Linked DNA regions of Callithrix jacchus. The protein of the gene in region 1 purifies or fractionates together with the protein of each later gene. This does not show direct contact. Links are inferred from orthologs where the notes say so. Each region holds a gene or a part of one and is shown on either strand. Other genes may lie near its edges.

Region 1 (8,028 bases):
GGAGGGCGGCACACCTCGGAAGGGCATGGAAGCTCTGGGTCCCTCCCACATGCTTTGCCCTGTGCAGCTCTTCATCTGTATCCTTTGTAATATCCTTTATAATAAACCATTAAATATGTTTCCCTGAGTTCTGTGAGCCTCTCTAGCAAATTTATTGAACATAGTTGGAACCCCCATTATTTATTTATTTATTTTGTTAAAGACAAGGTTTCACTATGTTGGTCAGGCTGGTCTTGAACTCCCGACCTCAGGTGATCTGCCCACCTTAGCCTTCAAAGTGCTTGGATTACAGGTGTGAGCCACCACGCCTGACCGGAACCCCAATTTATACCCAGTTGGTCATGAATACAGGTAAAACAAACTGACTCTTGTGGTTGGCATCCAAAGTGAGGGGCAGTCTTGTGGGACTGAACGCTCAACCTGTGGGATCTGATGCTCTCTCCAGGTAGATAGTGTCAGAATTGAATTGGAAGACACCCAGCTGATGTCTGCTGCAGAACTGATTGCTTGCTTGGTGGTGGGGTAATATCCTCATACATGCGGTCACAGAAGTCTTCTGTGTTGATTGCTGTGGTGTGAGGGCAGAGGAAAAATTGGGTCTTTTTTTGTTTTCTGTGTGTTTTTTTTTTTTTTCAACAGACCCTCGGCTGTATTGCCCAGGCTGGAGTGTAGTGGCGTGATCTCAGCTCACTGCAACACTCTCAGGTTCAATCAATTCTTATGTCTCAGCCTCCTGAGTAGCTGGGATTATAGGCACCCACCACCACAACTGGCTAATTCTTAGTATTTTAGTAGAGATGGGGTTTCACCACGTTGCCCAGGAGGGTCTTGAACTCCTGAGCTGAGGCAATCCACCTTGCTGTGGCTCCCGAAGTGCTAGGATTACAGGCATGAGCCATTGCGCCCAGCCCATTTTTTGTTTTTATTGAGACAGGGTGTCACTTTAATGCTGGGCTGGAGTGCACAGCCATGGCTCACCACAGCCTTGACCTCCAAGCTCAGGTGATCCTCCTGCCTCAGCCTCCTAAGTAGCTTGTACTAGAGGCACATACTACCATATTAGACTAATTTTTTTGTATTTTCTGTAGAGATTGGGTTCACCCAGTCTGATCTTAAACTCCTTGGCTCAAGGGATACACCTGCCTTGACCTCCCAAAGTGGTGGGATTGCAGGTGTGAGCTGCCATGCCCAGCCATAGTTTGTTTTTTCTGCACGGTATGCTTTTGACAGTAAACAGCATTTAGAATGCATTTGGGAAGGAGCTCCATTGTTCATGTAAGAAAAGTGCTGATATAGGCATGCAGAGGCTCCGCAATGCCATTAAGTCCTGGAGCCCTTTCCAGGCCTCTCTTCTGCCTTCTGCTATATTAGCCTTCAATGTCAAGCTGCTACCTTCAGTGGCACTAGAAGCAGCAATGAGGGCTGTGTGCTTTCTTGCTCACTTCCAGAAATCCCTTCCTCCATACCTTGCCCTTTAGATATTTTCGTCTATATCCTTTGTAATACACTTTATGATAAACCAGTAAATGTTTCCTTGAGTTGCCTAGCATTCTGAGCAAGAATCCTGATTCCCACTAGCTGGCCCACTTAAGTCACATGCTTATCCCTGATCCAATGACCATGATCTAGAATAAAAGGTGTTGATTAGTATAAGTCACAATTGGGGATCATTTCAGGACCTGGAATGGAGTCAGTTTCCTTCTCAGATCCTCAAAACTCTAAGTGCTTTCAGAAGTGGGAATAGCTGGGAGAATGATGCTGGCTAGATAACCACAATGGCCATTTACACAGGTCTTCATCAAGCTAGGGATTTGGGGTTGTTAACAACGGAAACTACTAAAGAAACGTGACTGCATAGACTGGAGAGACAGGCGGTCCCCTAAAGGAAAAATAGAGTGTTTGAAGAAAGGAGAAGAATGCTGGACAATACATACTTAACAAATATCCATTGGTTATTTCATAGAAGGCCCCAAAATTAATTAAATAATTTATTTATTTATAAAATGGAGTCTCACTCTGTCACCTGACTGGAGTGCAGTGATGTGATCTCCGCTCACTGCAACCCCCTGGCGATTCTCCTGCCTTAGCCTCCCGAGTAGCTGGGACTATAGGCCTGCGCCACCACGCCCAGCTAATTTTTGTGTTTTTAGTACAGATGGGGTTTCACCATGTTGGCCAGGATAGTCTCGATCTCTTGACCTTGTGATCTGCCTGCCTCGTTCTCCCAAAGTGCTGGGATTACAGGCATGAGCCACCGCACCCAGCCAAAATGTATTTATTTAACCCAGACTTCTCCCAGGAATGTCAGGACTTTTAAGAATGACCTAGTAATGACACAAGAATAAACACACAGGCAAATGAACAAACAACAGAATAGAAAGTCTAGAAATAGACACAAGTAAATATGCTAATGTTATATATCAAGGGCAGCATTTAAATTCTGTTGGGGCAGTTTGTTTAACAAATGTTGTTGACATACTGGCTCTCCATCGGGCAGAAGTTAGACCCCAGCTCACACATGCATAAGAATAAATTCCAGTTATATTAAAGATTTAAATTTTTTTTTTTTTTTGAGACGGAGTTTCGCTGTTGTTACCCAGACTGGAGTGCAATGGCACGATCTCGGCTCACTGCAACCTCCGCCTCCTGGGTTCAAGCAATTCTCCTGCCTCAGCCTCCCGAGTAGCTGGGACTACAGGCACGCACCACCATGCCCAGCTAATTTTTTGTATTTTTAGTAGAGACGGGGTTTCACCATGTTGACCAGGATGGTCTCGATCTCTCGACCTCGTGATCCACCCTCCTCGGCCTCCCAAAATGCTGGGATTATAGGCGTGAGCCACCCCGCCCGGCCAAAGATTTAATTTTTTTTTTAATAAAAAGAAGAGGGGTGGGTGCGTTGGCTCACGCCTGTAATCCCAGCATTATGGAAAGCCGAGGCGGGTGGATCATTTGAGGACAGGAGTTCGAGATCTGATTAGCCAACACAGCGAAAACCGGTCTCTACGAAAAATATAAAAATTAGCCAGGCGTGGTGGCGGGCGCCGGTAATCCCAGCTACTCGGTCGGCTGAGGCACGAAAATCGCTTGGACCCGGGAGGCGGAGGTTGCAGTGAGCCGAGATCGCACCAAAGTACTCCAGCCTGTGCAACAGAGCAAGACTGTGTCTCAAAAAAAAGAGAAAAGTTAAAAAAAGGAAAAGAAATGAAAAAGCTAATTCACTGGGGAAACTTGGGGAAACTTTCTAAGCTGGTAGCCGAGCGTGCGACCTTCTCATTCCGCCTCTTCCATTGGGTTCCCATGACTTACGTCGCAGGATATGTAGCCAATGGGAACTAGGCATGGGTGAAGAGCTCACCAATGGGGTAGGGGCGGGAGATTTGAAAGGTCCTGGATCAGGGCGCGGCGTGACTGATTCAGTTGCTTGCGGGAGGCAGGGAGAGTAGCAGTGCCTTGGGCTCCAGGTGAGCTGGCCTCCTTTCACAGGCCTTGCGCCGGGAGTGGGCAGATGATCGGGCAGGTCGGAGGTCCACCGGGCTGGCCCGCGCGCACTCCGCAAGGCTGGAAGGAGGTAGGGACGATAGCAGGGTGGGGGAGGTGAGACCAGCGCCTGGACTGGGGCTAGTGTGCTGACCTGGTCCTTTTTACGAGCCCAGGCTAGCGCTTTCGACCCGATCGCTCCAACCCCTCCCTCTCTTTCTTTTTCTCTGCTTCTCACGGCTGTTTCCCTTCTCCGCCCAGCTCTTCTCCGCCTTTCCCTCTAAGGATGGCCCAGAAGGAGAACGCCTACCCCTGGCCCTACGGCCGGCAGACGGTAAGGCCCTTCCCTCCATCCCCGCCCCCACCTTGTCCCTGCACGGCGAGTTCCTGCTGGGAGACTTGAGATCCTGCAGTGAGCAATCCTTTAAGCACCTTCTTCCCCGTTCTGCTCCAAAGTACGGGTCCCAAGAATTTGGTGACAGAACCCAGAATGGTCATTTATAGCCACATCCTGCCAACTTTAATCTGACAAGCCAGTGACTCCCAACCGGTGAGGACCCCTGGGGCTGAGCCTGCTCATCACATACCAATGATATCTGGGACTGAGTAGGCAGGGCCTGGCCTTCACAACCCATGTGCTGAAAAAATAAACTAGGCAGCAAATAGAAAGGACTCTAAAAGGCTATAAGGTTACTGTTGAAACAGTCCAGGGCAAGTCTAAATTAATAATTTGGAATTTATTTTAATGACTAAGGTGAGGTAAGGATCTAAATGGACTTATTTCCCAATTGTCCAGACAGATTTCATTGAAGGGTCTCCCCTGATTTTTTATTATATATAAATTCCCACATAGGTGTGGGTCTATTTCTGGACTGTATTTTATTCAACTTGGTTATTTGTAGATCTATACCAATATCACTTTGGGGAACAGGTTTTTAGAGGCACTGGGACTTTCTTCTCTTGGCTGAAGAAGACAGAAGGGGCCCTGCACAGGTTTTGCTCCCTGCTTGTGGAGCTCGGGCTTCCTAAAGAGTCTGTGTCCTTGTGCATCAGCTCCCTCCCTCATGGAGCACTGAATGAGGCTGTCAGGAATGGAGTCTGGATGAGAAACCACTGTCACTTTTACCTTGGTCACTCCTAAAAGTGCATCTATTACTTTGAGAAGTTGAAAGTGAGGCTGGGCACGGTGGCTCACGCCTGTAATCCCAGCACTTTGGGAGGCTAAGGCAGGTAGATCATGAGAACAAGATATCGAGACCATCCTGGCCAACATGGTGAAACCCTGTCTCTACTAAAAGTACAAAAATTAGCTGGGCATGGTAGTGGGCACCTTGTAGTCCTAGCTACTCGGAAGGTTAAGGCGGGAGAATCGCTTGAACCTGGGAGGCGGAGGTTGCAGTGAGCTTAGATTGCACCACTGCACTCCATCCTGGGCAACAGAATGAGACTCTGTCTCAAAAAAAAAAAAAAAAAAAAAAGAAGTTGAAAGTGAGAAGTGGTCTAGGCCCATCAGAGTAGCTCTTAGTGTCCCTAAAGCCTGTTCTTGCAAAGCTGTAAATCCAGGTTGTTGCTATAACATTCAAGGCCTCAAGGATCTTATCTAAGCCTTAATAAACTAAACTTTAAGGAAACTCTGAGAATACCTCTGTGCTAACCCCCTTGAATTATAGGTGTTTATTGACCCAGCCCTCTACTATGCTGTGAGTGAGGGGCTGGATGAATGACTGTGGTGTTATGGACAGATTGGACACCTTCATGCCTGTGAAGGTGGTGTGGGCCAGGGACAAAGAGGTGAAATGTTAGCTGTTGGGGTGAGTCCTTTGCCCCTTATCTTAGGCCTACTTAGGTTTATTAATAATCCATTTTAATATGATACTACAAGCAGAGCCTGGGAAGCAAAACTGTCATGTCAGTGTTTCTATTTGAATTGGGGGTGGGCGGGTGACTGGCTTTTTAGCAGAGGGCTGAAATGCTGCTTGCAGCACATTCCACCCCGGTCATCAAACAAAGGCACCCTCAGAGCTACCCCCTGCTCCTTCTCAGACTCCATCTGGCCTGAGCACCCTGCCCCAGCGAGTCCTCCGGAAAGAGCCTGCCACCCCATCTGCACTTGTCCTCATGAGCCGCTCCAATGTCCAGCCCACAGGTAACTGGGACAAGGGGGAGAGGACTGACTTGGGGAGATGAGAGTCTATGGGAGGGTGTAGGGAGGAGAATGTCATCCCTGTTCTCATTCAACTTACCTGTTCTCTCCTTAGCTGCCCCTGGCCAGAAGGTGGTGGAGAATAGCAGCGGGACACCCAACGTCTTAACGTAAGTGCCCCAAGCCTTGGGGTGGACAGGGATGAGGGGGGCAGTGAACATGCAGGAAGTCGGGGAGGTAAAATCTAAGGGCAGGAGGAGTAGGAATGAAGAAAAATGGGGCTGAGGACAGGATGGGATGAGGAAGCAGGGAAAAAGCAAACATCTTAGATAACCAAAACTGGTTCTGAGCTGCCTTCCCCCACTTTCTAAGCAGGCGGTCCTTCACAATTGATGACTTTGAGATTGGGCGTCCTCTGGGCAAAGGCAAGTTTGGAAACGTGTACTTGGCTCGGGAGAAGAAAAGCCATTTCATCGTGGCACTCAAGGTCCTCTTCAAGTCCCAGATAGAGAAGGAGGGTGTGGAGCATCAGCTGCGCAGAGAGATCGAAATCCAGGCCCACCTGCAGTATGGCTTGATGCCCCCTGAGCCAAAGCCCCTCTGCTCCCTCACCCCCAGATTCAGCCCCACCTCATCCAGATTGCTCTCTCTGTAACTATGGCCAGTGAGCCCCATGTAGCTCTTAGTCCTGGTCAGAGCCTTGAATCCAGAAATCTGCCTCCAGTTTCCCCTTATCACTTCCAGCCCTGGTGTCCCTGGCCACATCTGACCCTAGTTTTCTCCTATCATCTTTCCCAGCTCTTTTATGCCTTTGGCCTGAGGCCTCCTCATTTCTTCCCCCAGGCATCCCAACATCCTGCGGCTGTACAACTACTTTTATGACCGGAGGAGGATCTACTTGATTCTAGAGTATGCTCCCCGTGGGGAGCTCTACAAGGAGTTGCAGAAGAACCGCACATTTGATGAGCAGCGAACAGCCACGGTCCGGGAGCGTGGGCACCTAGGGCGCCGGTAGGGGCTTGTGCTGCTTGTAGCTGGAGGTCCATCTTTGTCTGACTGCCTGTCATTGGCCCTTCCAGATCATGGAGGAGTTGGCAGATGCTCTAATGTACTGCCATGGGAAGAAGGTGATTCACAGAGACATAAAGCCAGAGAATCTGCTCTTAGGGCTCAAGGGAGAGCTGAAGATTGCTGACTTCGGCTGGTCTGTGCACGCACCCTCCCTGAGGTATGGTGGCCTGGGAGGCCAGAGGTGTGAGGCTGGGCCATTAAAACCTCTCCAGGAACAAGTTTCACGTTAGCTCAGTTGGTTAGAGTGTGGTGCTAATAATGCCAAGGTTGCAGTTTTGGTATCTGTACAGGCCAGTGGCCAAACTTTGGCCAGGCACGGTGACTCACACCTGTAATCCCAGCACTTTGGGAGGCCAAGGTGGTTGGATCACTTGAGGCCAGAAGTTCAAGACTGGCGGACCTGCCTGGCCAACATGGCAAAACCCCCTCTCTGCTAAAAATAGACATGGTGGTACACACTTGTAATCCCAGCTGTTCAGGAGGCTGGCACATGAGAATCGCTTGAACCCGGGAGGTAGAGGTTGCAGTGAGTCAAGATCGCCCCACTGCACTCCAGCCTGGACTTTGTCTCAAAAAAGCCCAGGAGCAGCAGCCTTTTTTTCTTCCATACCTTTTTTTTCATGGTTTCATAGTATCACATGGTAGAGATACAACCTGATTTATTTAAGCAGAACATGCCTGATGGGCATTAGAGATGTCTCCAATTATTTCTTTAACTCCAAAATGAACATTGCCCACACATTGGATTATCTTTTTTTTTTTTTTGAGATGGAGTCAAAAACACAAAACCAGAAAGATATGGAGTCTTGCTCTGTCATCCAGGCTGGAGTGCAGTGGCACAATCTTGGCTCACTGCAATCTCCGCCTCCCCAGTAGCTGAGACTACAGGCATGTGTCAACACATCCGGCTAACTTTTTTTGTATTTTTAGTAGAGAGTTTCACTGTGTTAGCCAGGATGGTCTCCATCTCCTGACCTCCTGATCCGCCCACGTTGGCCTCCCAAAGTGTAGGGATTACAGGCATGAGCCACTGTGCCTGGCCTTAGATTATGTTAAGATATATCCGACAGTGTAGAATTGCTGGGGCTATGTGCAGGCTTAACTCTGGGGCTTCGGGATATATCATCATCCCACCCCCACCCCAGTAACCCTGCCTGGCTGGACCTCTCCCGTGGTACATCCTGTGGTCTTTTGGCTCCCTGCTGTCAGGCAGCAGGGAAAGGAGAGATTGTATGTCACTGGGACCCCTGCCCACACCGCTTATCCCTCCCAGGAGGAAGACAATGTGTGGTACCCTGGACTACCTGCCCCCTGAGATGATTGAGGGGCGCACG
Region 2 (8,137 bases), on another chromosome or scaffold:
TTTTTCTGAGACAGAGTCTCGCTCTCTCACCCAGGTTGAAATGCAGTGGCGTGATTTCAGCCACTCAGTGGTTGCTCACTGCAACCTCCACCTCAATTCTCTAGCCTCAGCCTGCCATGTAGCTAGGATTACAAGCCAGCACCACCATGCCCAGCTAATTTTTGTATTTTTAGTTTCACCATGTTGGTCAGGTTGGTCTCAAACTCCTGACCTCAAGTGCTCAGCCTGCCTTGGCCTCCCAAATTGCTGGGATTACAGACATGAGCCACTGCGCTCAGCCTCGCCTGGCCTGAAGAACATCTCATATCAGTCCAAAGTTACTCTCAACTAAGAGTATGAAAACCTAGATACTATAGAATCAATCACATAACGCTTTCACAATTAAAAGATAAATTCAGTAAGAGAAAAACAGGAAAGCAGTCGAAGCATTTAGTAAATCTGAAAACTCCCTTAAGTAAAAAGTTTGACACAATGAACTTCGATCATTTGAGAACTTCAATTTCTAGTCTTTAAAAAGTCTTGTTTTAGTACCTAGTAATTTGTAAGTTGCTACAATTACAGATCTGTGATTCCTTTTAAATAAAACTATAATTAATTCATTTCACAAATATTTACTGGGCATCTACTACTGTGGAAAAACAAAGATTAAAATACGTATGAACCCTGCTCTAAAGACACTTTAAGAGTCTGGAAGGAATAAGATATATGCACACTGTAGTTAAAATGTAAAGATAGCTCAGAAGGGAAAGAGTATGTGAAATGTGGTGGGGTAAAGTACAGACTAGGGAAGGCACTGATGATGAATTTAAATAACAGGTCAAATTCAGATGAAGAAAAAAGGCCTTCCATTGGAAAAGGATGTTAGAAAAAGCAAGAAAAGTGGAAAGACACAATGAAAAAAAATTAATTTTGCAGAAATGGAAAAAAACTACAAAATAATAAATGATAATATAGAAGCTAGAGGTTCAAAGCTCTGGTAACTCAAATATCCTGGCCAGACTAAATCACCAATTAAAACATCTAATACTGTACTGTATTCCACTGATGCTCTATAAATACTTTTAAATTAGTAATCCATGACCCCTTATGCCTGTCTTACTTCCTGACGGAATGAAATTGTGAAAGAAGTTTTATTCATATTGCACCTAGAGTAATTATCTTCAGAATACAAATTACTTTACTGGGGAGGTGATTAAAAAGAAAAAAAATAGAAGACAAATTATTTTTCCAATTTTGAATGTACATACTCAAAGTTAGGCCAGAACAAGAAAGTACCCTCACTTTAAGTTAATATATGCAACATACACAAGTGATACTCAAGCTTCATTTCAAATTGTGATATAAAAACTATGCTATTCCACCCACAATGGCAAGATCAAAATGTTCTAGCTCCAACTTTTCAACATTGTGCAAGCTGCTTTAGTGCTCGGTGCCTATAAAATGAAGAGGCTCTATCTGGGACCGTCTAGCGATAAAACCCTATATACTGTGAATTCTATTCCATCTTTTCTACAGAAGTCACCGTGATAAGGGCAATAATAACAAAAACAGGAATGGGTATTCTTCGTTCAACCTACACAGAGTAAAAATTACCCCTCGTTATACATCTACTAAGTACCAGGCTCTTTCTATTTATTTCACTTAATCTTCATTACATCCTGAAAAGCAGGCATTTTCCTTATTTTACTTACAGGGTATCAGCTATCTCTCACATATCCAATCCAATCAGGGTGGAAAGCCAGGATTGAAATCAAGGTCTAACTCCACAACGTAAGCTGTAATAAACCATATTTCATAACCTGGTGTCACAAACACAAATATCAGACAAAGTAAGTGGTGGGCTGTGATTATGGCATGACTATGGTAACCCAGACAGAACATGGTCTTCTAGTAGGATAGCTCAGGCTGACTTGTTGCCAAGTGGGAATGGATGAGTGAAGCCAAATGTGTGCCTGTGTGTATGTGACAGAGAGACAGAAAAGTGATTTTCAAATGAAGGAAACTGATTTACCAACTTTCATCTTATGCTTTAAACAATTGTAACCAGATCTGTGCAATATTTTTTTTAAGATGGAATCTTTTCATGTTGCCCAGGCTAGTCTCAAACTCCTGGGCTCAAGCGATCCGCCTTGGCTTAGCATCCCCAGTAGCCAGGATTATAGACCTGTGTCACTGTGACCACCTGCAATTAATTTTAATATTATAAGTTCTCAAAAAGTATTGAAACACAGGCATGAGCAATAGAGTCTAGCCTTTCAAGGTACTTCTTGGTTGAATCTTGGCTCTATTACTAGCAGTGTGACATGGGTCAAGTTACTTCACCTCTCTAAGCCTCATTTTTTTGACTTTCAAAGTGAGAATACTGTCACCTATCCTGCAGGGCAGTTAACGATTAAAGTAGAGTGTGGAATATAAAGAGCTCAACACAGTACCGAGTACAAGGTAAATGAAAGCTACTATATTATTCCTCAGGATCCCATGAACAAAGTTATGTACATAAATACTACCCAAAGTTAGCCATTAAAATGTTATACTTGGTCACTTTTATGTATATCTAAAATGATTCTCAAATAAAAAGTTTACTTCAAAAAGTCGTACACCTTCGATTCCATTAAACAATAACCAAAGTTCAAAATAAGTATATTCTAAACCTAGAATCTAAGCAACTATTCAATACTGTTTTCAGCGGCTAACCATTAAAAAAAAAATAACGCTGCAAATAATGTCCTTACGAGTTCAGGCAGAAAGCGGTGAATGTGTCCCTAAAGCAGTTTGAGCGGGAAATATCCCTACTACGTCCAAGGTAGCATTTGCCAAATGATATATATTTGGGTCAGCTCGAAAAAACGGGATCGGAACAAATGACACCAGGCGTTCTGATGGGACAGGAGCAGGTGGATTTGTGCCCCAAAGAATATCGTTTTATTCTTAGCCACATGCTCTCACCAACAGCTGGGTTTTAAACCATGCAATCTTCTCCAACGCCCCAGTTTCAGACTGCGAGGGAGGGAGCAGGACTTCAGGCTCGTCTCGGCCAGTGCAGACACAGGCGAAAGGGAAGGAGGGACGGGCCCACAGCCCCGAGGGGCGTGGGAGGCAGTTCGCGCCAGCACTGTCCCGATCCGTCCCTTCCCGGGAGGTACCACCCGCGGACCACTCTCCTAGCCCAAGCTTCGGGGCCTACGCAGCTTGTGGGGCGCGGCTGCCGTCAGTCCGGCCAAGCCGCAGTGATGGGGACTACGATGGGGGCTTGAGGAAGTAACTCTGGGATTTCAAGAGCGGAAGGAGGGCAAAGGTGGAGGCGGCTTGTGGATCTCCCTTCCATGGTGGAACGCGGGAGGTGACCTTCGGGTCTCCGAGTGCTCCCTCCCTGTCCCTGCCCGGACCCCTTCCCAAGTCCCAGACCCGCCGCTCCTCTCACCGTCTCCGCTTCTGTGTGCTGGGGTCCGGCACTCTGACCCCCCATTACCCCACGGAGGAAATTCATCTTGCCTTTCAGCCACCTGGTTTATCGGCCCCTCCGGGAAAGAAACGAAGACAACTTCCCCGCCTTCCGCAGGGCCTGACCCCCAATTCCGCACTCCACACTCTCCTACCGCATCCACCACCGCCTCCAACTCGGCGGCCGATCTAGCCCCTTAAGCCCGGAAACAGCCGCCAGCAGCGGCCAAGATGCGCATGCGCGGGGACGTGGCATTACGTGGCGGCTCGAAGGTTGAAGGCAAAAGGGGAGCGGAGGCGAGAGAAACCTCGTAGCTACGTTCCGCCGGAGCCCCGCCCACTGCGTAGGCCCTGCCTCCCTCCTCAGGACTCGCTTCTACCCCCGCCCTTCGCGGATTGTTCCCGCTGGCCGCAGCCACCCACGTGGTCGAAGCCCGGCCCTGCAGGGTGGAGAGGATTTGGTTACGCGTTTCAACTTGCACGCAGGGTGTTTAATTGCTCCCGAGCGGGACTTACTGCAAGCTATCAAATCTGAGGTCTTATTCTTTTTGAGTCGAAAGTGAAATTTTCCTTCGGCCGACGTGACAGGTAAGGGGTTCCGGCCCCTGGGAGGGTTCGTTTGGTTTGACGGTTTAGTAGTACCAGCGTTGTGGCTTTCTTATCCCGGTAAATTGCATTTCTTTACAGGGCTTTGTTTGGTGGTAAAAAGGGTACTAGACGCCCCTCATTCCACTGCCACTGGAGGGCGCATTTCTCAGCTCTTGCTCTTCAAACCTGCTCAAAGGAATTCCTAGATCTAAACACCAGGTACACCTCAATTTTCAAGTGTCGTCAGAAGGAAACCCACCAAACTCTACATTTAGCTTACTAGAGAAATACATTGTTCTGCTGTGTCAGTTTGGCGAGTAACATAATGTTTTGTTATTAACTATTAACCCCTGCGTTTTCAGTGTTTTTTTTTAACCTGAAAAAAATGTCATTTTCTCAAATTGATATGCCTGTTTCTCCGGCAGTGAGGTTGTCAGTACACATGCTTCTGGAATAATCTTGTAAATTTCTTGAGGCTAAAAAGCACAGGGTCTAGTTAGTTTACTGACTCATGCACCTCTCCTCTTGGATTCCCCTCAGGTCTCAGATTCAGCCTTTAAAATTGAACTCATCTTCCCCTGCCTCCCTTAAAGAAAAAAAGTCAATACGCTGCTTCTACTGTGTGCATGCCGTGCTCAGTAGTACCACTGTCCAAATAAGTGCCTAAGCTAGACAGAGGAGGCTGGGAAGAATCTTAGACTCTGGCTTTCCACCCACGCATGTCCAATCAATAGTCACGTCCTATCATTTTTATATAAATGACTATTTCTCAGATAGGTCCTCTGCTCTCCATTCTCTATGCCTATGATATAGATTATGTTCTCATCATTTCTCGTTGAGATTACAGCAACAGCCTCCTAACTAGTTTGTCTGCATTCAGCCCTGGCTTCCTTCAGAAAGTCCAATCTCCAGTCCTCCCTTGGGAGAGACTAACAACAACAAAACATCTGTTTATGTCAGTCTTTTAAAAATCCTTCAGTTGTTTCCCCTTTCTCTCTAAAATAAAGTCCAAACTCCTTAGTTTGTCATACAGGCCTATTGTGATTGGCTTCTGACTACTTTTTCAGCTTCTGCCTCCCCCACATACTCTGGACATTTTTCTCAGACGTGGATACGCCCTTCCCCTCCCTTCTCTTCATCAAGCAAACTCCTGCTAATTCCTTAAGACTCAACTTTGGCATCATTCTTGAAAGCTTTCCCTAAAATCTAAGTATATATCTATATGCTAGCACTTTGCAGTTATTAATACTATATATGGTGGACATTCAATAAACGCTTGTTAAACCAAACTGTTAAGGGCAGGACTATGTTTATTCATTTTATATCTCTGTTGCTTACCACTGTCTCATAAAAGGTGATATTGATGGATAAATGAATAAATCATTGAAAGAATATATGAAAATTATGCTAAGGAGGAGGTTCCCTTTTTTTAATCTGTAAAGTGGAATTGTAGGGAACACATCATAGGCAATGTGTTTCCTAGTGCCAACATTTTAAGCCTGTGCAACTTGGAGAATGGTGGGGTCATACTGCCAAAAATACTGTGCACTAAGCATTGTCCTCTGCTTGAAAACTATATACACTTGACATTTTACTGTAGTCATTTTCCATGGGAGCATTTTGTTGCAGCCTAAAAAAGGTAACCAGTAAATACTCAGCATTTTTATTACCAAGAAATGCTCTAAAGAACTTCACTCAAGCCCCTAAGCCTCACCCATCCCTAAACCTCACTCTACCCCATCATCAGGAATGAGGCTCACAGATGGAGTGGGCCACAGCTGTCTGTTACTCCCCTTATTTAGTAATTAAAAAGAGTGCCTTGACATTTTAGCAAAGTTGTTTAAAGGCACCAGCCCTATCAAATGCCTTGTTTTGTTTTGTTTTGAGACGGAGTTTTGCCCTTGTTGCCCAAGTTGGAGTGCAATGGTGTGATCTCGGCTCACTGCAACCTCCGCCTCCTGGGTTCAAGCAATTCTCCTGCCTCAGTCTCCTGAGTAGCTGGGTTTATAGGCATGCACCACCATGCCCGGCTAATTTTTTTTGTATTTTTAGTAGAGACGGTGTTTCTCCATGTTGGTCAAGCTGTTCTCGATCTGCCGACCTCAGGTGATCCGCCCACCTTGGCCTCCTAAAGTGCTGGGATTACAAATGTCAGCCACTGTGCCTGGCCCTGTTTTGTTTTAAACTTTGGTGGGTACAGTAGGTTACTACACTTCAGTGAGGAAAGTTGGTTACTATACTTTAATGAGTATAGTAGTAACAGCTTACTATGAGTTTTCCCTGCATTTGACTTGTTTTCTTCCCCAACAGCAGCCCCTGAACAGGAGGGATAGACAGTTGGGTGCCGATGCGCTGAAGGTGAGATCCCCAAGGTATTGTCCCTACAGAACAACCATGAAATGGACTCCTTATTTCAGAAGAAGAGAGTTACATATTAATCCACTTCTATGATTTGTAGAGAAAAGTCGGGGACTGTGTTATATTCCTGTTTGCACCCTTTAATCATCTAGTATAATTTTTTTTAACATGGTAGATGTTCAGGAACTACCTGACTTAATAAAGGAAGAGAAATCATGAACAAATTGTGACCCCCTGACTTGCATGGTTACATTTCTGGCTTTCATAAATCTAAGCATTCAGGATAAGAGTGCCGTGAATCATTAAAATACATATAATCAAAAAGAAAACGAATGATTCTTCTTTTTCTAAGCCAAACCTGACAATAGATCAGTGAACAAGATTCATTGGTTTGAAATCCATTTTTAAAATTGCTTTCTTTTTTTCCTATCGTTTCTTACTTTCTAGTGGAAAACTCAGCAAAAGCAATGAAATCTAATTGCATAAGATTGTTTTTTTACTTGGGGTAGTAGTGAGGTGGAATACTGTCAATGCCTGCTTAGGAGGATATATAGCAATGATCATTTGTATTTGAAATATATATAGGTTTTTATTTATTTATTATTTTGCTACATTATAAGTCCCTTCAGTATCATAAGTAGGTTTTTAAAGACGTGGCTCATGCCTGTAATCCCAGCACTTTGGGAAGCCAAGGTGGGAGGATCACTTAAGCTCAGGAGTTTGAGACCAGCCTGGGCAATGTGGCAAAACCCCATCTCTACAAAAAATAAAATATTAGCTGAGCATGGTGGCACATGCCTGCAGTCCCAGCCTGTAGTCCCACTTACTTGGGAGGCTGTGGGAAGACCTCTTGAGCCTGGGAGATCAAGGCTGCAGTGAACCATGATTGTGTCACTGCATTCCAGCTGGGATCATAGAATGAGACCCTGTCTCAAAATAAAAAAAAAAAGACTAGTTGCTAGAAAAATCTACAAACATTGTTGATATAATTAGGTATTATGCATTAACCAAACAACATGTAGCAAAATAAATTGATGATTTCAATCTATAGGAAGCAGCACTGAAAAGCCATGACTAATCAATAACCGTATCAGACACATAGTGCTCTTTATTGGCCAGGCTCTGTTCAGAGTTCTTTATAGAAAATAATTTGCTTAATTCTCACAACAACCCTATGAGGTGGGTAGGTTATTAGCCCTATTTTGCAGATGGGAAAACAGGTTAAGAGGGTAACTTGACCAATGTCATAGAGGATAATCTGGCTCCAAAGCCTGCGTTCTTATGTAGTACCTTATCCTACTTTTCTAGACGCAAGACAATGATCATGCACTAAGTAGAAAGGTGGCCTGTCAGGTCCATATATAATCTGGCCCTTATATCATCTCCTGTGCCACATTCCATCTGATTCACTCCTCTCCAGCCACATCACCTGGCTTCCTTGATGTTTCTGAGACCTTCTCCCCTCCTTATGCCCTTTGCAATTGTTCTTTCCTGTATTTGGAATGCTTGCTACTTCATCCACATAGACGTAAGGGTCACTCTTCACTGTCTTTAAGTTTGCTTAAATGTTAATAGATCTTTCCTGAATAGTCTAAGTTGCAACCTCCTCATACTCCTTTTTTCTCTGGTCTGCTTATTTTCCTCTGTAGCACTTAATCAGTCTGATATATTATTCTCCCATACACACTATGTTCCCATATTTCATGAGATCTGCTGTGCTATTAAGTGTACCCTAGATAAAGAAAAAAAA
Region 3 (7,585 bases), on another chromosome or scaffold:
AAGTTTTCCTTTAAAAGTTAAAAAAAAAACAAAACAAATCTTTCTCTAGTTAATTTAGAAATGGCCAGAACCGTGGTTTTGTTTGCCTCATGGTGGGACAGACTTCTGGGTGATTTTCTCCAAGGTTGGTTGTGACAATAATGGTCCATTTTTCTCAAGTCAAAGTAATTCACTTTCTCTGTAGTTTACCATTCTTAAAGTTTGCGACCAATGAAGCGATCCAGAGGACGGAGGCCTATGAGTACGCCCAGTCCCTGGGGGCCCAGACCTGCTCCCTGCCCACTTTCCAGGTAAGAGGTGCTACCAGCCTGCTGCAGCGCAGGCGCACAGTCTAAAAAGCTTTTGGTTACTTAGATGGTTGGATTTTTTTTTTTTTTTGAGTTGGAGTCTCTCTCTGTCGCCCAGGTTGGAATGCAATGGCACAATCTCGGCTCACTGCAACCTCCGCCTCCCGGGTTCAAGCAATTCTCCTGCCTCAGCCTCCCTGCAGGTTCACGCCACCATGCCCAGCTAATTTTTTTTTTGTTGTATTTTGGTAGAGACAGGGTTTCACCATGTTGGCCAGGATGGTCTCGATCTCTTAACCTCATGATCCACCCCCACTCAGCCTCCCAAAGTGCTGGGATTACAGGCATGAGCCACAATGCCCAGCAGATTTTTTGAATTCTTATGGAAAAAATGGTGTGATTTTTTTTTTTTGAGGGGAGGATGTTGAAAAGACATTTGATCTAGAATGCTAAGAAACTGCATCGCATTGAATTGGGTATTTCCGTTTGCATTTGATTTCAGGACTTTCATGAGCCTGTTTTGTTCGTTTGTTTTTAAGGAGACAGGATCTCAGTCCTTTGCCCAGCCTGGAGTCCGCTGGGGTGATCACTCCCAGGCTCAAGTGACTCACCTCAGCCTCCAGAGTGGCTGAGTCTACAGGCATGCAACACTGTGACCCACTAAGTTTTTTACTTTTTGTAGAAAAAAACGGTCTTGCTTAAACTCCTGGGCTCAAGCAGCCCTCCTCCCTCAGCCTCCCAAAGTGTTGGGATTACAGGTGTGAGCCACCACGCCCAGCCCATATGAGCCATTTTTAATATTTGAGGGAGGTATTCTCTGATGCACTGTGGGGGTGGTGTGTATAAAATATGTAGAGAGAGAGGCAGGACTCAGTGGCTCATGCCTATAATCCCAGCACTTTGGGAGGCCAAGGTGGGTGGATCACCTGAGCTCAGGAACCAGAGACCAGCCTGGGCAACCCAGCCAGGCGTGGCAGCATGCGCTGGTTCCCAGCTACTCAGAGGCTGAGGTGAAAGGATAGCGTGAGCCCAGGAGATTGAGGCTGCAGTGAGCTGTGATTGTGATCACTCCAGCCAGGGTGACAAAGTAAGACCCTGTCAAAAAAGAAAAAAAAATACGGGCCGGGTGCGGTGGCTCACGCCTGTAATCCCAGCACTTTGGGAGGCCGAGGTGGGTGGATCACAAGGTCGAGATCGAGACCACCCCGGTCAACATGGTGAAACCCCATCTCTACTAAAAATACAAAAAGTTAGCTGGGCATAGTGGCATATGCCTGTAATCTCAGCTACTCAGGAGGCTGAGGCAGGAGAATTGCCTGAACCCACGAGGTGGAGGTTGCGGTGAGCCGAGATTGCGCCATTGCACTCCAGCCTGGGTTACAAGAGTGAAACTCCGTCTCAAAAAAAAAAAATAGACTCAAATATCTAGAGAACGTCTGTGGAGCAGCTTGCGCTGCCTGAAAGGCGGTGGCCTCAGTGCGCACAGTTACATGAAAGGAACTAGCGGGGAGGCAGAGTGATGTTCTTACCGGCTTAGTCCTTGACTTTGCTCTTGAAATCCCTTGGGAACAGGGACTGGGACTGTGGTCAGCGGGCATGGGGGTGGGAGATGATGATGAGTGACGCGTCCAGAAGAGTCTGCAGCTCACAGGGCAATGCTTGGACGCGGGAGAGCCACGGTATAGCAGGGCTGCGTCTGTCCTTTCAGGTGTTTAAGTTCATCTACTCCTGCCGCCTGGCGGAAATGGGGCTAGCCACGCAAGCCTTCCACTACTGCGAGGCCATCGCGAAGAGCATCCTGACGCAGCCGCACCAGCACTCCCCGGTGCTCATCAGCCAGCTTGTGCAGGTGCTGCCCCTCCCATCCCCCGCAGGCAGGGAAGGAGGGCTTCCAGGGCCCCTGGGCGTCCGGGTGGTGCCCCGAGGGTTCAGACGCGCTTTGTGGTAGGCACTTGGAACCTGCCTCTTGGGTAGGTGAAGATCTTTGAATGGCTTTGTGTTTTGCCTGTTAGTCTGGGGACTGTCAGGCACCATGTGCCAGCACAGAACCTTGGCAGCAAGTTTCACCATCAGAGGAGCTGTCTGTAGGATACTCTTTTTAAGATGGAGTATCACTCTGTCGCACAGGCTGGAGTGCAGTCGTGCAATCTCAGCTCACTGCAAACTCCACCTCCCAGATTCAAGCGATTCTCCTGCCTCAGCCTCCTGAGTAGCTCGGATTACAGGCGCTCACCACCACGCTCAGCTAATTTTTTGTATTTTTAGTAGAGATGAGGTTTCACCATGTTGGCCGGGCTGGTCTTGAACTCCTGATCTCAAGTGATGCATGCATCTGCCTCGGTCTCCCAAAGTGCTGGGATTACAGGCATGACCCACCACGCCCGGCCAGGATATTCTTATTTTGAGGCAACTTAGTCTGGTGGTTGATAGCTTAAGTGTTCAGAATTCAGCAGCCTTTGTTTGAGTCCTGGCTACACCACGCAGACCTTACTTTCTCCCCCTGTAAAACGGAGGCGGCGTGACTGGCAGAGAGTGTGGGAGGCGCCATACTCTCTACTTCTCTTCAGTAGTTGCGTTTGTAAGAATGTGCTCATGGGATACCCAAAAAAACTTATTAAGGACATTTTTAGACCCATTTCAAAGTTGAGAGAATTATTCATGCATCCTTAGGTCCTTACCCCCACATCAGTGTTTAAAACACAAGGCCACACTTGTGTTCTGCCCCCACCCGCACCCTGCTCTGCATTCCCCAGATTCCCGATGAAAGCACACAGATGCTCTCAGGTGAGTCCAGCTTTTTCGGAGTCAGTTCCACATGGTCACGTTGCAGCCTTGGGCCTGGCCTGTCCCAGTGCATGTGGGCGGACAGGTCATCTACAGCAACTTCCCACAGTTGCCCAGCATCCAATGTGCTGGGTGTGTCATTAAGCACATGCTGGAAACGTGTGCAGCTAACTAAACTTCATCTGCACTGTAACACTGCAGGTGCATTGCCCCCAGAGTTGGGGCGTTTTGAAGACGGCTCACTTGCCATCACCTGGTGGTGACAAGGGCCTCTGATTTCTGCCCGTGTCTAGATGGCTTCCCAGTTACGACTCTTTGATCCCCAGCTGAGAGAGAAGCCAGAAGAGGAGTCCTTGACCTCACCTGCCTGGCTGGTTCACCTGCAGCAGGTGGAGCGGCAGATCAAGGTACAGCCTTGGTTCAGAGTGGCACAGAGGTGTTTGGCAAGGTGGTTTCTGTCCCTGTCATTTTCACACTGACGGTACCTATTTAAAGACAGCGAAACTATAGATGTGTGCCTACTAGAGTTCCCTAATTCCCCAGAAAAGGCGTATGTGCCCCCTATTGTCCTGAGTTGGGGACACAGCAGTGTGGTGGTGGTGGGCAGGTGCCGGCTGCAGTGCCATAGGCTACTTGCATAGGTGGGCTTTGTTCTCCCTCAGGAGGGGGCCATGGTGTGGCCTCAGGACGGAGCCTTCCCACAGCAGTGTCCTGGCACGCCAAGCTCCGAGGTGGAGCAGTTGGAGGGGCCAGGAGTCAGTCAGCCGGTGGCCCTGGGGATCGCCAACCCACTGCTGGCAGTGCCTGCACCGAGCCCTGAGCACTCGAGCCCAAGCGTGCTGCTGCTGCCCTCAGGTAAGCCCGGGCTTTCTGCTGGCTCACCCCACTTCGTCCTCAGATGCCATTACCACTCCCTGGTTGATTGCTCTCCTTAGCACTTTCTCTTCTCACTCAGTTTATCTGTCCCCATCCCCATGGGAACCCAGTATTTTTGTTCTTGACACATCCAGGGCCCAGCATAGTACTGACAGGCAGCAGCCCTCCCTGGTTTTATGTCAAGTTAGAGGAATGAATGAATGAGTGGCCTGTTTTGACCCCTGGCCATGGAGGAGAGGACTCAAATGGAGCATAGCTTTGGGCCAGGTGGCCACTGTAGGCTTGCATCTAGGCCGGGCTGTGCCCTGGAGCCTGCGTGGTGCTCAGTGACTACACAGGCGTTCATCCTGCCCCACTCCTAGAAAGGAAGCAAATGTTCCGCTTTTTTCCAAACCACTGATGGTTCAGATGGGATGGTGGCTTCAGGTCCTTTGGCTTTACTGGATCTCCCTTATAAAAGCAATGTGCCTGTGCAAACTAACCTGTCCGAAATGTGTCTAGCGTCAGCTCCTTCCAGTGACCTTCTCTTCTCCACTGTTCCCATGCAGCTCCGCCAACGCTCCCTGATGGCCCATTGGCCAGTCCTGCCGGGGTGCCAATGTTCCCAGTGTCACCGCCCCTGGGGCCCCTCGAGCCGGGTCCTGGCTGTGTGACTGCAGGGTCTGCACTTGGCTTCCCAGATCCCTCCAGGCCTGATCCTGCAACTCTGGGCCTGGGGCCTGGCCTGCCATCTGGCGTGCCACCTCTCCAGGAAAGGAGACACCTGCTTCAGGAAGCCAGGAGCCCAGACCCAGGTGGGGCTGCACAGATGCTGTCTTGAGAGCAGAAGCAGTGTTGGGTATGGGGTTTGTGGGGATTGGTGGAAGAGATGGAATTTATTTGACCTTGTAACAAGTTAATTACTTGTCTTAACGAGACCAAAACTCCTGGCAGTTAGTAGACTGGACGGCTTAGGAGTCTCGCTGTGACAGCAGGGTTAGTAGTAGTTTCTTTTGTAAGTCGGCTTTTCATGATGCGAGGCTTAAATGGCTGTTCAGGGCAGGGCACGGTGGCTGTGGCTGTCCCAGGAGTTGTCTTCAGATGGTCCTTCTAAACGCCTGGTAACACGCACGGGTCAGGTTATGAACTTCTGTCTGGAAGTCAGTTTGGTAGATCTTGTCCCTGGTCTGTGTCTATATTGACAAAGCAAAACATAAGCCTACCTTTAAAGAATAAAAGTTGGCTGGGCACAGTGACTCACGCCTCTAATCTCAGCGCTTGTGAGGGGATCACCTGAGGTCAGGAGTTTGAGACCATCCTGGCCAACATGGTGAAACCTTGTCTCTAGTGAAAATACAAAAATTAGCCTGGAGTGGTGGTGCGTGCCTGTAGTCCCAGTTACTCAGGACGCTGAGGCCAGAGAATGGCTTGAACCTGGGAGGTAGAGGTTGTAGTCAGCCGAGATCGAGCCGCTGCACTCCAGCCTGGTGACAGAGCGAGGCTCCATCTCAAAAAAAGAGAAGTCACACTGTGTGGTGGTAGCCGGGTGGGAAGGCAGCGCCTCGGTCTGGGCGCCAAACACGTCCTGCCTCCTGTGTTCCCGTCCGGCAGCACTAAGGTCTGACTTGTTCTCTTTCCCGTTGACAGGGTCGGTGCCGCAGGATGTGCCTGTTGGAAACTCACTTTCGGAGCTAAGCGAAGAAAATTTTGCTGGAAAATTTGCGAATCTGGTACTTTGTCACATTTTCTTCAACTATTTGTTTTCCATAAAGTTCATCTAGTGGGCACCCAGACTCCTTGTTGAGGTGTAGGTGGGATGATGGTGGCGAGGACTGTGAAATTGTTTCTTAAAGCAAAAGTGCTTCTAAGTAGCTTTCATCCTTCAAATATGAAGAGCTGGTGAAAACACTGGTAGGGAAAGATGAGGAAGAGAGAATTCAGTAGCAGAGAAACAGTTACTTTAAGTAGGAGAAATTCCAAAATACAGTCACATCCCCTGATTAATTTTAATTCTTCTAAAATGGGCACCTTCCCTGATTCACACATCTCTTTCCTTTTTTTTTTTGAGACACAGTCTGGCTGTGTCGCCCAGCTGCCTGGAGTGCAGTGGCGTAATCTCGGCTCACTGCAACCTCTGCCTCCCCAGTTCAAACAGTTTTCCTGCCTTCGGCTCCTGAGTAGCTGGGACTACAGGCATCCGCCAGCACGCCCAGCTAATTTTTGTATTTTTAGTAGAGACTGGGGTTTCACCATGTTGGTCAGGCTGGTCTTCAACTCCTGATCTCATGATCCACCCACCCCGGCCTCCCAAAGTGCTGGCATTACAGGCGTGAGCCACTGTGCCTGGCCATCTGTTTTTCTACAGAATCTCTAATTTTTTTTTCTCACAAGAGGATGTCCTGGAATACAAAAGAATTTTTAACATTTTCACTGGTTTTCCGGAAAGTGAGATTTGTCTGATCAGATGTGTTTGGTATAAATACCTCCCCTATTTACTCTGCTCCTAACCTGGAGGGATGGTTGCTTTTATACAGACTGCATTCTGGAACCTTCTTTACAGATAGTCAGCTCTTCATGGGCCTCCCATCAGCAGGCGGTTACTGTAGCTTGAACTCGAATTAGGTGTTTTACCCTTTACAACATTATGTTCCCAGAAAAGTAAAAATGAGGGTTGAACTATTAAAAACTGGGACTGGAGCCAGGAATAAATATTTGTAAATATCACTGTATCTTTGAGAATGCCCACCACCCACCCTGGCCAGTCTTACCCTCAGTGAGTGCCCACGCTCCACTTCTTCCAGCCCCAAATCTCCAGTGAACGCCCTCATTCGGAGGTCCCCCCAGGGTGGGATCATGCTGACTCGGGTCCGACGCAGCCACCTCTGTCTCTCTCACCTGCTCCTGAAACGAAGAGACACGGACAAGCAACCAAGAAAGAGACAAAGGACACTAAGAAGGTAGTACAGCGCCCACGTGCACCTGGCGGCCGGGAGGGTCTGGGCTGGGGGCATGCTTCCCAGCGCACCATCCTCCTCATTCAACCGCAAGCTTCACCCTTCTGAATCAAACAGCCGAGCTCGTGAAGTGCACATGGCGTGGTGGGTGTCTGTGTATTGGTACCCTCAGATAGCTGCCCACCCAGGTCAGCATAGGGACACGGCCTGGCCCCCAGAGGTCCCCTCTAGGCATTGACTATCAGACACACCCGCAAGGGGCTAGACGGCAGCCACTCCTTTGTCACTGTGGCGTGTGCTTGCCACCGGCTTCCGGATCCTTTCTCCTAGTTGTGGGCGTTGGGACTGCTTTCTGTGTGGGGCTGGAACCAGTCAGGCCCCAGGAGCCTTCCTGCCTGTCTCCTGGGGAATGTGCTTGTATTTCTGAGGCGTGTGCTGGGGAGTGGAGGGCTTAGGTTGCAAGATGAGCCTATGTTCAGCTTTAGGAGACGCTGCTAAGCAGTTGTCCTACATGGCTGGACCAAGTCACACATCCTGCAGTAGAGGACAAGGTCCCCAGCCGTCCCTTGTCTTCACCAGCACTGGGCAGTGCCAGGCCTTTCAAAGCAGTTGGGCTGGGTTGATGACATCTCATTGTGTCTTACTCTGCCTCTCCCCAGCGAGGTAGGACGCTAGCACCTTCTCTGCCTGTTCCATCTCACTGCT
Region 4 (7,585 bases), on another chromosome or scaffold:
TTGGCCTCACAAAGTGCTGGGATTACAGGCGTGAGCCACTGCGCCCGGCCACTTATCTATTCTTTCAGGTGTTTTCTTATTGCTGTAATATTGACCCAAGTGGGAAGTGTAAATAATATATTATCATATATGGTTGTTAAATGCAAAAGTGAACCTAGAACGCTATCATAATTATGGTATTTGCTTTTACAAAACAAAATTTTTTTTTCTTCAAGTAGGCAGCTCTTCTGATACAGTTAAAATGATCCTTAAAATAGAAAATTATTTTAGCTGGACACAACGGTACACACTTGTAGTCCCAGCTACTTGGGAGGCGGAGGTGAGAGGATTGATCGTTTAAGCTCAGGAGTTCTAGATCAACCTGGGCAACATAGTAAGACCCCGTCTCTTAAGAAAAAAAAAAAAAAGATTGAATTTTTAAAAATTAAATTACTTAAAAAATACTGGTTCACAGATGACCAGATTAACGATTGTAGGTAATAGAGGATTGAAAAAATGGTGTTTTTATCAGGGAACATTCTTGAGACAATGGCACGGCAGATTATTATAGGTTTCCCTGGAATAAAAAATCTTGTTTCTATGAACATTTAGTAGAAACAGTTTGTTTACTTCTATTTTAATTTTTTGTTAAAATCAGATTTTCAAATGATTCAGTATGTAACTATTGTAGTTATTCTGGGCTCAGTCTATGAATTTGTGCAGTTTGATATAATTTGAAAAGAATATTGTGGCCGTTATATTGTTTGTAACTGTAAACTTTTACTTTACAGGGTGATTTTGTAGACAGAGGTTACTATAGTTTGGAGACCTTCACTTACCTTCTTGCATTAAAGGCTAAATGGCCTGATCGTATTACACTTTTGCGAGGAAATCATGAGAGTAGACAGATAACACAGGTGTATGGATTTTATGGTAAGACCTTCTATTTTTCTGATTCTGAATATTATTTTACTTTCCTCTTTGGAAAACAAAGCTACACGCCATACACGTGCTTTTTGTGTATTATTTTCCACATGTCCTCACTCCTTTACTCCTCTACTCCCAACTAATTGAAAATCTTATGCTGAAGAGAAGACCGCTGTCAACTTTTTGTTGTGCATCTTTCTAGATCTGTGCCTCAAAGTATAGTCCTTGGTTTACCTTGTTGGAATCACCTGGGTTCTCATTAAAAATGTAGATTGTGGCTGGGCGTGGTGGCCCACGCCTGTAATCCCAGCACTTTGGGAGACTGAGGTGGGTGAATCATGAGACCAGGAAATTGAGACCATCCTGGCCAACGGGGTGAAACCCCATCTTTTCTAAAAATACAAAAATTAGCTGGGTGTGGTGGTGCGTGCCTGTAATCCCAGCCGCTCGGAAGGCTGAAGCAGGAGAATCACTTGAATTGGGAGATAGAGATTGCAGTGAGTCGGGGTCGTGCCGCCGCACTCTAGCCTGGTGACAGAGCGAAACTCCGCCTCAAAAAAAAAAAAAAAAAAAAAAAGTAGATTGCTGGGCCTAACCAAAGATTTACTAATCGAAATATTTTGGAGTAGGAATCTAGAATCTGCCGAAGGTGAATGTTCTGCACAAATTTGAGAGTCCATTCTCATTTATTTTTTTTTTGTGTGTGTATGTATTTATGTGTGTTTATATATATACAAACATACACACACTAAAATGGGGTCATACCTGATTTTTTCACCTCATTAATGTTATTTTTATGGCTGCATCATATACCATATGGATGTACCATAATTGATGTATCAGTCTGTCCTCTGTCATGGGACATTAGAGTTGTTTTTAAGTTGTTGTTATACATCCTTTTACATATATCTCTGTGTGCTCACTCCAGAGAATGCTAGGTCCTCGGGGATCAGAAGCAGAATTTAGTCATAAAAAGCAAAATAGCTGCTTCTCTTAAAACTTTTGTTTGGTTAAAAGTTAAAAAGAGGCTGGGCACGGTGGCTCACACCTATAATCCCATCACTTTGGGAGGCCGAGGCTGGTGGATCACAAGGTTAAGAGATCGAGACCATCCTGGTCAACAAGGTGAAACCTCTTCTCTACTAAAAATACAAAAATTAGCTGGGCATGGTGGTGCGCACCTGTAGTTCCAGCTACTTGGGAGGCTGAGGCAGGAGAATTGCTTGAACCCAGGAGGCGGAGGTTGCAGTGAGCCGAGATTGTGCCATTGCACTCCAGTCTGGGTAACAACAGCGAAACTCTGTCTCAAAAAAAAAAAAAAAAGAAAGAAAGTTAAAAAGAGAGAGAGAGCATATTAGGAAGCCCCTTGAAGGAAGTATAACTGTTAAGATTATGAATTTGGATTTTCCTTGAGCACAATTCAGGCAGATATTGAGAGATTTGGAAACATTAATTTCAGAACCCTTTAGTTTTAAATTTTATATTTTGAATTATCTTCTGTCATTGTAAAGATAGGCTGGGCTGGGCTCAGTGGCTCACCCCTGTAATCCCAGCACTTTGGGAAGCCGAGGCAGGCGGATCACGATGGCAGGAGATCAAGACCATCCTGGCCAACATGGTAAAACCTTGTCTCTATTAAAAATACAAAAATTAGCTGGGCATGGTAGCGCTTGCCTGTAGTCCCAGCTACTTGGGAGGCTGAGGCAGGAGAATTGCTTGAACCAGAAGGTGGAGGTTGCAGTTTGCTGATATTGTGCCATTGCACTCTAGCCTGGGTGACAGAGTGAGACTCCGTCTCAAAACACAACACAATACAACAAAACAAGATAGGCTGAACTCTCTTACACTTCAGTTTGTCTGCCATTATCAATTAGATAAATTTTTAAATTTTATTGTTTTCATATAACTTAATAATTGTAAAGTTAAATAATTAATATTTGTTTCCTTTCTACAAGTTACTTTTTATTTTCATTCACAAAATAAACACCATTTGAAATAAAACTTCTGGATTATTTTGCAAAATAGTATGTTGGGTGACATACTATGATGTTAGCTCAGTGAAAACAATGCTAAAACTAATGTTACAAAAACACACACACACACACACACACATAACTAATGCTACATGTATAATATATAAAGTACATACTGTTATATATGACTAATATATGACATGTTTTTATATATGACTTTTTATGTATATAATTGTACCCCAGAATTCATCCAGCATTTGTCAGTGTAGGGCAAAAGGAGAAAAACTGGGGAGAGGAAGGAGGACATTTTAATCAAGGTGCCTTCACTGAGGAAAAAGACAGCAACACAAAATCTAGTATTGAACTTTCTTGTTCCCAAAGCTCTGTTCATGTAGTGAGTTTTTATGGTTTTGTTTAATAAAATGAAACTTAACTCCTCAGGAAGAAGATAATTTTAGTTATAGGACTTATATTGATTTTGAGGAGTCAAATATCTCTATATGACTTTACAGTGGGCCTTCAGTTCACACTGATAAACACATACTGGGCAGTTACTATTAAACCAATTTTAAGATCACTGCCTGCAACCTGAGCTCATTGTTGGGGCTCTCTTATGGCAAATTCACATAAGAATCTTGCTTCACATAGAGATATAATTGAGAAAATCTTGAAGATTGGCCATAACCTGCAGACTTCTTTCCAATAGCATTTTCATCTGTGCTTAAAGGCAATAGTGGTATGTCAGTTTTTGGGTTTTTTTTCCCTAAAATTTTCAGAAGAAGCCAAAGTGCAGAGCTTCCATGGCGTTAACAGAAGTGTGTACCCTATTAACTATGTAGACAATTAGGGTACAGTGGTTCACATCTGTAATCTCAGCACTTTGGGAGGCTGAGGTGGGAGGATTGCTTGAGCTCAGGAGTTCAGGACCAGCCTGGACAACATAGGGAGACTCCTATCTCTACTGGGAATAAAATTATCCAGGTGTGGTGGCACATGCCTGTAGTTCTAGCTGTTCGGGAAGCTGAGGTGGTAGAATCGCTTGAGCCCAGGTGGTTGAGGTTGCAGTGAGCTGTCATCACACCACTGCTGATTGCGCTACTGTATTCCAACTTGGGCGACAGAGTGAGACCTTGTCTCAAAAACAAAAAAACTATGTAGGCAGCAGAAGGATGTTTAACTGAGAATTTATAAGAGCCTGATTGGCAATCTGTCCTTAGCCTGCAGAAGCTCAAGTGTTTGATCTACTGAAGCTCAAGTGTTTAGTTGTACAATTTGCAGAAAATCTCAGAAGAGACAACTTACTCCTGAGAAGGTTGAGTTAGAAATTGCTCATGCTCCTATAACTAAGGGTCCTCTAATTCATTTGATTTGATTATCCTGCTAGAACAGTCTCCTTTAATAAATTTGTTTGTTTACCAGAATTGCCTAATATTAACATAACTGTCAAACATTTGCTTCAGGTTGTGTGAAATTAGTATTTAGCTCTTCTGATTATAGCATTTTGGTTAATAATTTCAGCTGCGTCTTTGTCCATTCCAGGAATGAAGAGCAGTACTAAAACCTTAGGAAATATAGTCATGTGCCACATAATGACATTTCAGTTGATGATGGGCTGCATATACGTCAGTGGTCCTATAAGATATAACAGAGCTGAAAAATTCCTATTGCACAAATACTTATTATGTTACTGTTTCCTTATGTTATTTAGTACAATTACATGCTGCACAAGTTTATAGCGTAGGAGCAATAGGCTATATGATATTGCCTAGGTGTGTAGTAGGCTAGCCATCTAAGTTTATGTAAGGACATGCTATGATGTTCACACGGCGATGCAGTCACCTAACAAAGCATTTTTCAGAATGTATCCCCATGGTTAAGGGACATATAACTATATATAGTTAGTCACTAGTGTTCTTTCGGCTCTATGTGGAGGTCCTGCCAGGACTAAATATGTGTCATAACTTGTTATCCTAGTTTAAGCTGAATTTCTGTTGTACTGAAGGCTGCTGTAGTATTGGATATATTGTTTATTTTTATTGGCAGATTCATTAATTAAATCTCTTCTGTTTCTTTCACAGATGAGTGCCAAACCAAATATGGAAATGCTAATGCCTGGAGATACTGTACCAAAGTTTTTGACATGCTCACTGTAGCAGCTGTAAGTTTCTATTTTTGAAGCCTCATCTATGTTTCTGCCAATAACACATTGCATATTTTTATCTAGTTGTCATCTCAGTTATATTGATATCTTTAGTATTCATCGATGCATTTAGATATGCCTTAGGTTATATGTTCAACTCTGTTATCTTTTTTTGCTAGTTAATAGATGAGCAGATTTTGTGTGTCCATGGTGGTTTATCTCCGGATATCAAAACACTGGATCAAATTCGAACCATCGAACGGAATCAGGAAATTCCTCATAAAGGAGCATTTTGTGATCTGGTTTGGTCTGATCCTGAAGATGTGGATACTTGGGCTATCAGTCCCCGAGGAGCGGGTTGGCTTTTTGGAGCAAAGGTCACAAATGAGGTAAAGCCAACATTTTTGGAAAAGTAATTTGTGGATTGCTAATGGGATGCATAGAGAACTATGGTGGCCCTAGATAACAAACTTGTAGTCTACTTTACTCAAAATATGGTGGCTATGGATATTAAAGTTCTAGTTTAAGTATTAATGTATGTCTTTCTTTAGTGGTTAAATAAGATCTCACAGTGAAAACACCTACTCCGGCATCCACTTGGTAATAACATATAAAATAAATGTTCCTTTTCTATTTTTGAGATGGAGTTTTGCTCTGTTACCCAGGCTGGAGTGCGATGGTGTGATCTTGGCTCACTGGAACCTCTGCCTCCCAGGTTCAAGCAGTTCTGCCTCAGCCTCCCAGGTATCTGGGACCCCAGGCATGTGCCACCATGCCCAGCTAAGATTTGTATTTTTAGTAGAGATAGGGTTTCACCCTGTTGCCCAGGCTGGTCTTGAACTCCTGACTTCAGGTTATCCACCTGCCTTGGACTCCCAAAGTGCTGGGATTACAAGCGTGAGCCCCGTGCCTGGCCTACATCAGTCTTTTTTTTAACAGAAATATTAGTTCATTTGAAAGGCCAAATAGATCCAAAGAAGGAAGATGAAAATTAAATACTTAAATTGATCAAAAGGTACTACCGTATTACCTAAAACCTACTGTTGCAGTGGCAATAGGCTAAGGAAGATTAAGCTACAGCAAATCATCTAATGTGAATGTTAGCAATTACATATCAGGAAGCACATTTGCTTTCCGGAAGACTGTGGTACAGTGTTCATTTAGGCCCAAGAGGATATTTGGCCAGGAAAGGATCAAGATGGATAAAGGTAATAGGTACAAAAGAGAATCCAAGCCACATAGTCAAGCAGATCAGGCTTCTTCCTCCCAAGAAACATTTGCTTCGCTGTGCTGCCTCCCACCTCAGTCACCTCCCTATTCCATGGCTGCTCAAGCCAAGCTGCCTGCTCCTGCCTTACAGGGTGCTCAGCCACTGGGACTAGGTTTGGGGTTGCCCAGGCCTTTTGCTGTAATTTAGCATAGACCTTGGGGAGACCTGGTCACATATGGGTTGGCTTTGTTGCTGGTTGTTCCTGATAAGGAAAACCCTGAAGCATTCACGTGCAAAGTGGTCTGAGCTTCTCCAATCACACCCCCACACAACATCCTCAAAAGTCTGAAATCTTGCAACAGCTGAGTTGTAGTTAAAGCTGAAGGGTTCACAAAATCATGAAGGAAGCCAGGATGAGACAATGCAGGTAGGAAGTCCCAGCAGTTAATCTCAATCTGTCTTTTCCCATTTTGGATAAGCTAATTTATACCTGATATGGGATGTAGAAAGCTACACTGGAACAAGCTGGGTCTTCTGCTGTTATTTGTCTTCCAATACCAGGGGAAAACAAGAGGTGGGGAGGATTTTATTCTTAAAAAGCCTCAGAAGTTACTCTATTATAAAGGGACATGACTGAATAGGTAAGAAATGGATTCTTCATTGTGAGTTTTCTTGATGGCTTCTGCAAGGATCATAAAGATGTCAATCACCTGTATATTGGAGCAGTGCTTCATCTTGTCCTCCTGGGGTATGGTATTGGTGACTACTACTGCTTTAAAGCACGCACTGTTGATGCGAGAAATAGCCGGACCAGAGAAGATTCCATGAGTCAAGATAGTATAAACTGGTGGCTCCAGCTGAGAGAAGTTTGTCAGCTGCACGGCAGATTGTTCCATAAGTGTCAGCCATGTCATCCACAAGGGTGGCCACCTAATCCTTCACATCTCCCACCAGCACCATGCAGTCCACTTCATTGGCCTTTGTGAATCAAGGCAAAGCCCACATTCAGCCTGTCTGCAATGGAGGTCACTCTCTTAGCTCCACCAGCACCAGATGAGACAATAGCACAGTTCTTTGACTCAGAGATATTCTCTCTTGTCCACTTCAGGATACCTGGCTCTGCATACAAATTGTCCACTGGTATATCAAAAAAGCCCTGAATTTGAGAAGCATGTAGGTCCATGGTGATAATATATGTGATCTGCTCCTGCTACAGATGGCAAATTTGCAACAAGCTTGGCTGAGATTGGCACCCAACTCTTATCTTTCTTGTCCTTCTGGGCATAAGGGAAGCATGGGATGACTGCAGTAACCCGGCTGGCTGAAGCACTCTTACAGGCATTAATCATGATCAAA

The links.
Region 2: the proteins of AURKB (region 1) and G3BP2 purify together in Homo sapiens (affinity purification with mass spectrometry; 3 studies listed by BioGRID and IntAct, with this or other methods). This does not show direct contact. The link is inferred for Callithrix jacchus from reciprocal best matches to the Homo sapiens genes AURKB and G3BP2.
Region 3: the proteins of AURKB (region 1) and SEC16A purify together in Homo sapiens (affinity purification with mass spectrometry; 3 studies listed by BioGRID and IntAct, with this or other methods). This does not show direct contact. The link is inferred for Callithrix jacchus from reciprocal best matches to the Homo sapiens genes AURKB and SEC16A.
Region 4: the proteins of AURKB (region 1) and PPP6C purify together in Homo sapiens (affinity purification with mass spectrometry, with the first as the bait; 3 studies listed by BioGRID). This does not show direct contact. The link is inferred for Callithrix jacchus from reciprocal best matches to the Homo sapiens genes AURKB and PPP6C.

The regions. Positions count from the first base shown.
Region 1 is NC_133506.1:74,673,391-74,681,418, reverse strand, and holds the start of AURKB (aurora kinase B), read left to right. Parts: upstream 1-3,418; 5' UTR 3,419-3,571; intron 3,572-3,741; 5' UTR 3,742-3,766; coding exon 3,767-3,814; intron 3,815-5,523; coding exon 5,524-5,626; intron 5,627-5,738; coding exon 5,739-5,793; intron 5,794-5,998; coding exon 5,999-6,190; intron 6,191-6,466; coding exon 6,467-6,605; intron 6,606-6,702; coding exon 6,703-6,851; intron 6,852-7,967; coding exon 7,968-8,028. UniProt on the Homo sapiens protein: Serine/threonine-protein kinase component of the chromosomal passenger complex (CPC), a complex that acts as a key regulator of mitosis.
Region 2 is NC_133504.1:122,415,185-122,423,321, forward strand, and holds the start of G3BP2 (ras GTPase-activating protein-binding protein 2), read left to right. Parts: upstream 1-3,890; 5' UTR 3,891-4,029; intron 4,030-4,128; exon of another isoform or gene 4,129-4,248; intron 4,249-6,339; exon of another isoform or gene 6,340-6,342; 5' UTR 6,343-6,401; intron 6,402-8,137. Other genes in the region: USO1 (general vesicular transport factor p115), read right to left, coding at 3,422-3,487.
Region 3 is NC_133502.1:184,921,725-184,929,309, reverse strand, and holds part of SEC16A (protein transport protein Sec16A), read left to right. Parts: intron 1-184; coding exon 185-290; intron 291-1,995; coding exon 1,996-2,136; intron 2,137-3,364; coding exon 3,365-3,478; intron 3,479-3,733; coding exon 3,734-3,926; intron 3,927-4,495; coding exon 4,496-4,741; intron 4,742-5,573; coding exon 5,574-5,656; intron 5,657-6,727; coding exon 6,728-6,883; intron 6,884-7,585. UniProt on the Homo sapiens protein: Acts as a molecular scaffold that plays a key role in the organization of the endoplasmic reticulum exit sites (ERES), also known as transitional endoplasmic reticulum (tER).
Region 4 is NC_133502.1:173,750,208-173,757,792, reverse strand, and holds part of PPP6C (serine/threonine-protein phosphatase 6 catalytic subunit), read left to right. Parts: intron 1-770; coding exon 771-912; intron 913-4,957; coding exon 4,958-5,037; intron 5,038-5,198; coding exon 5,199-5,408; intron 5,409-5,660; coding exon of another isoform or gene 5,661-5,858; exon of another isoform or gene 5,859-7,585.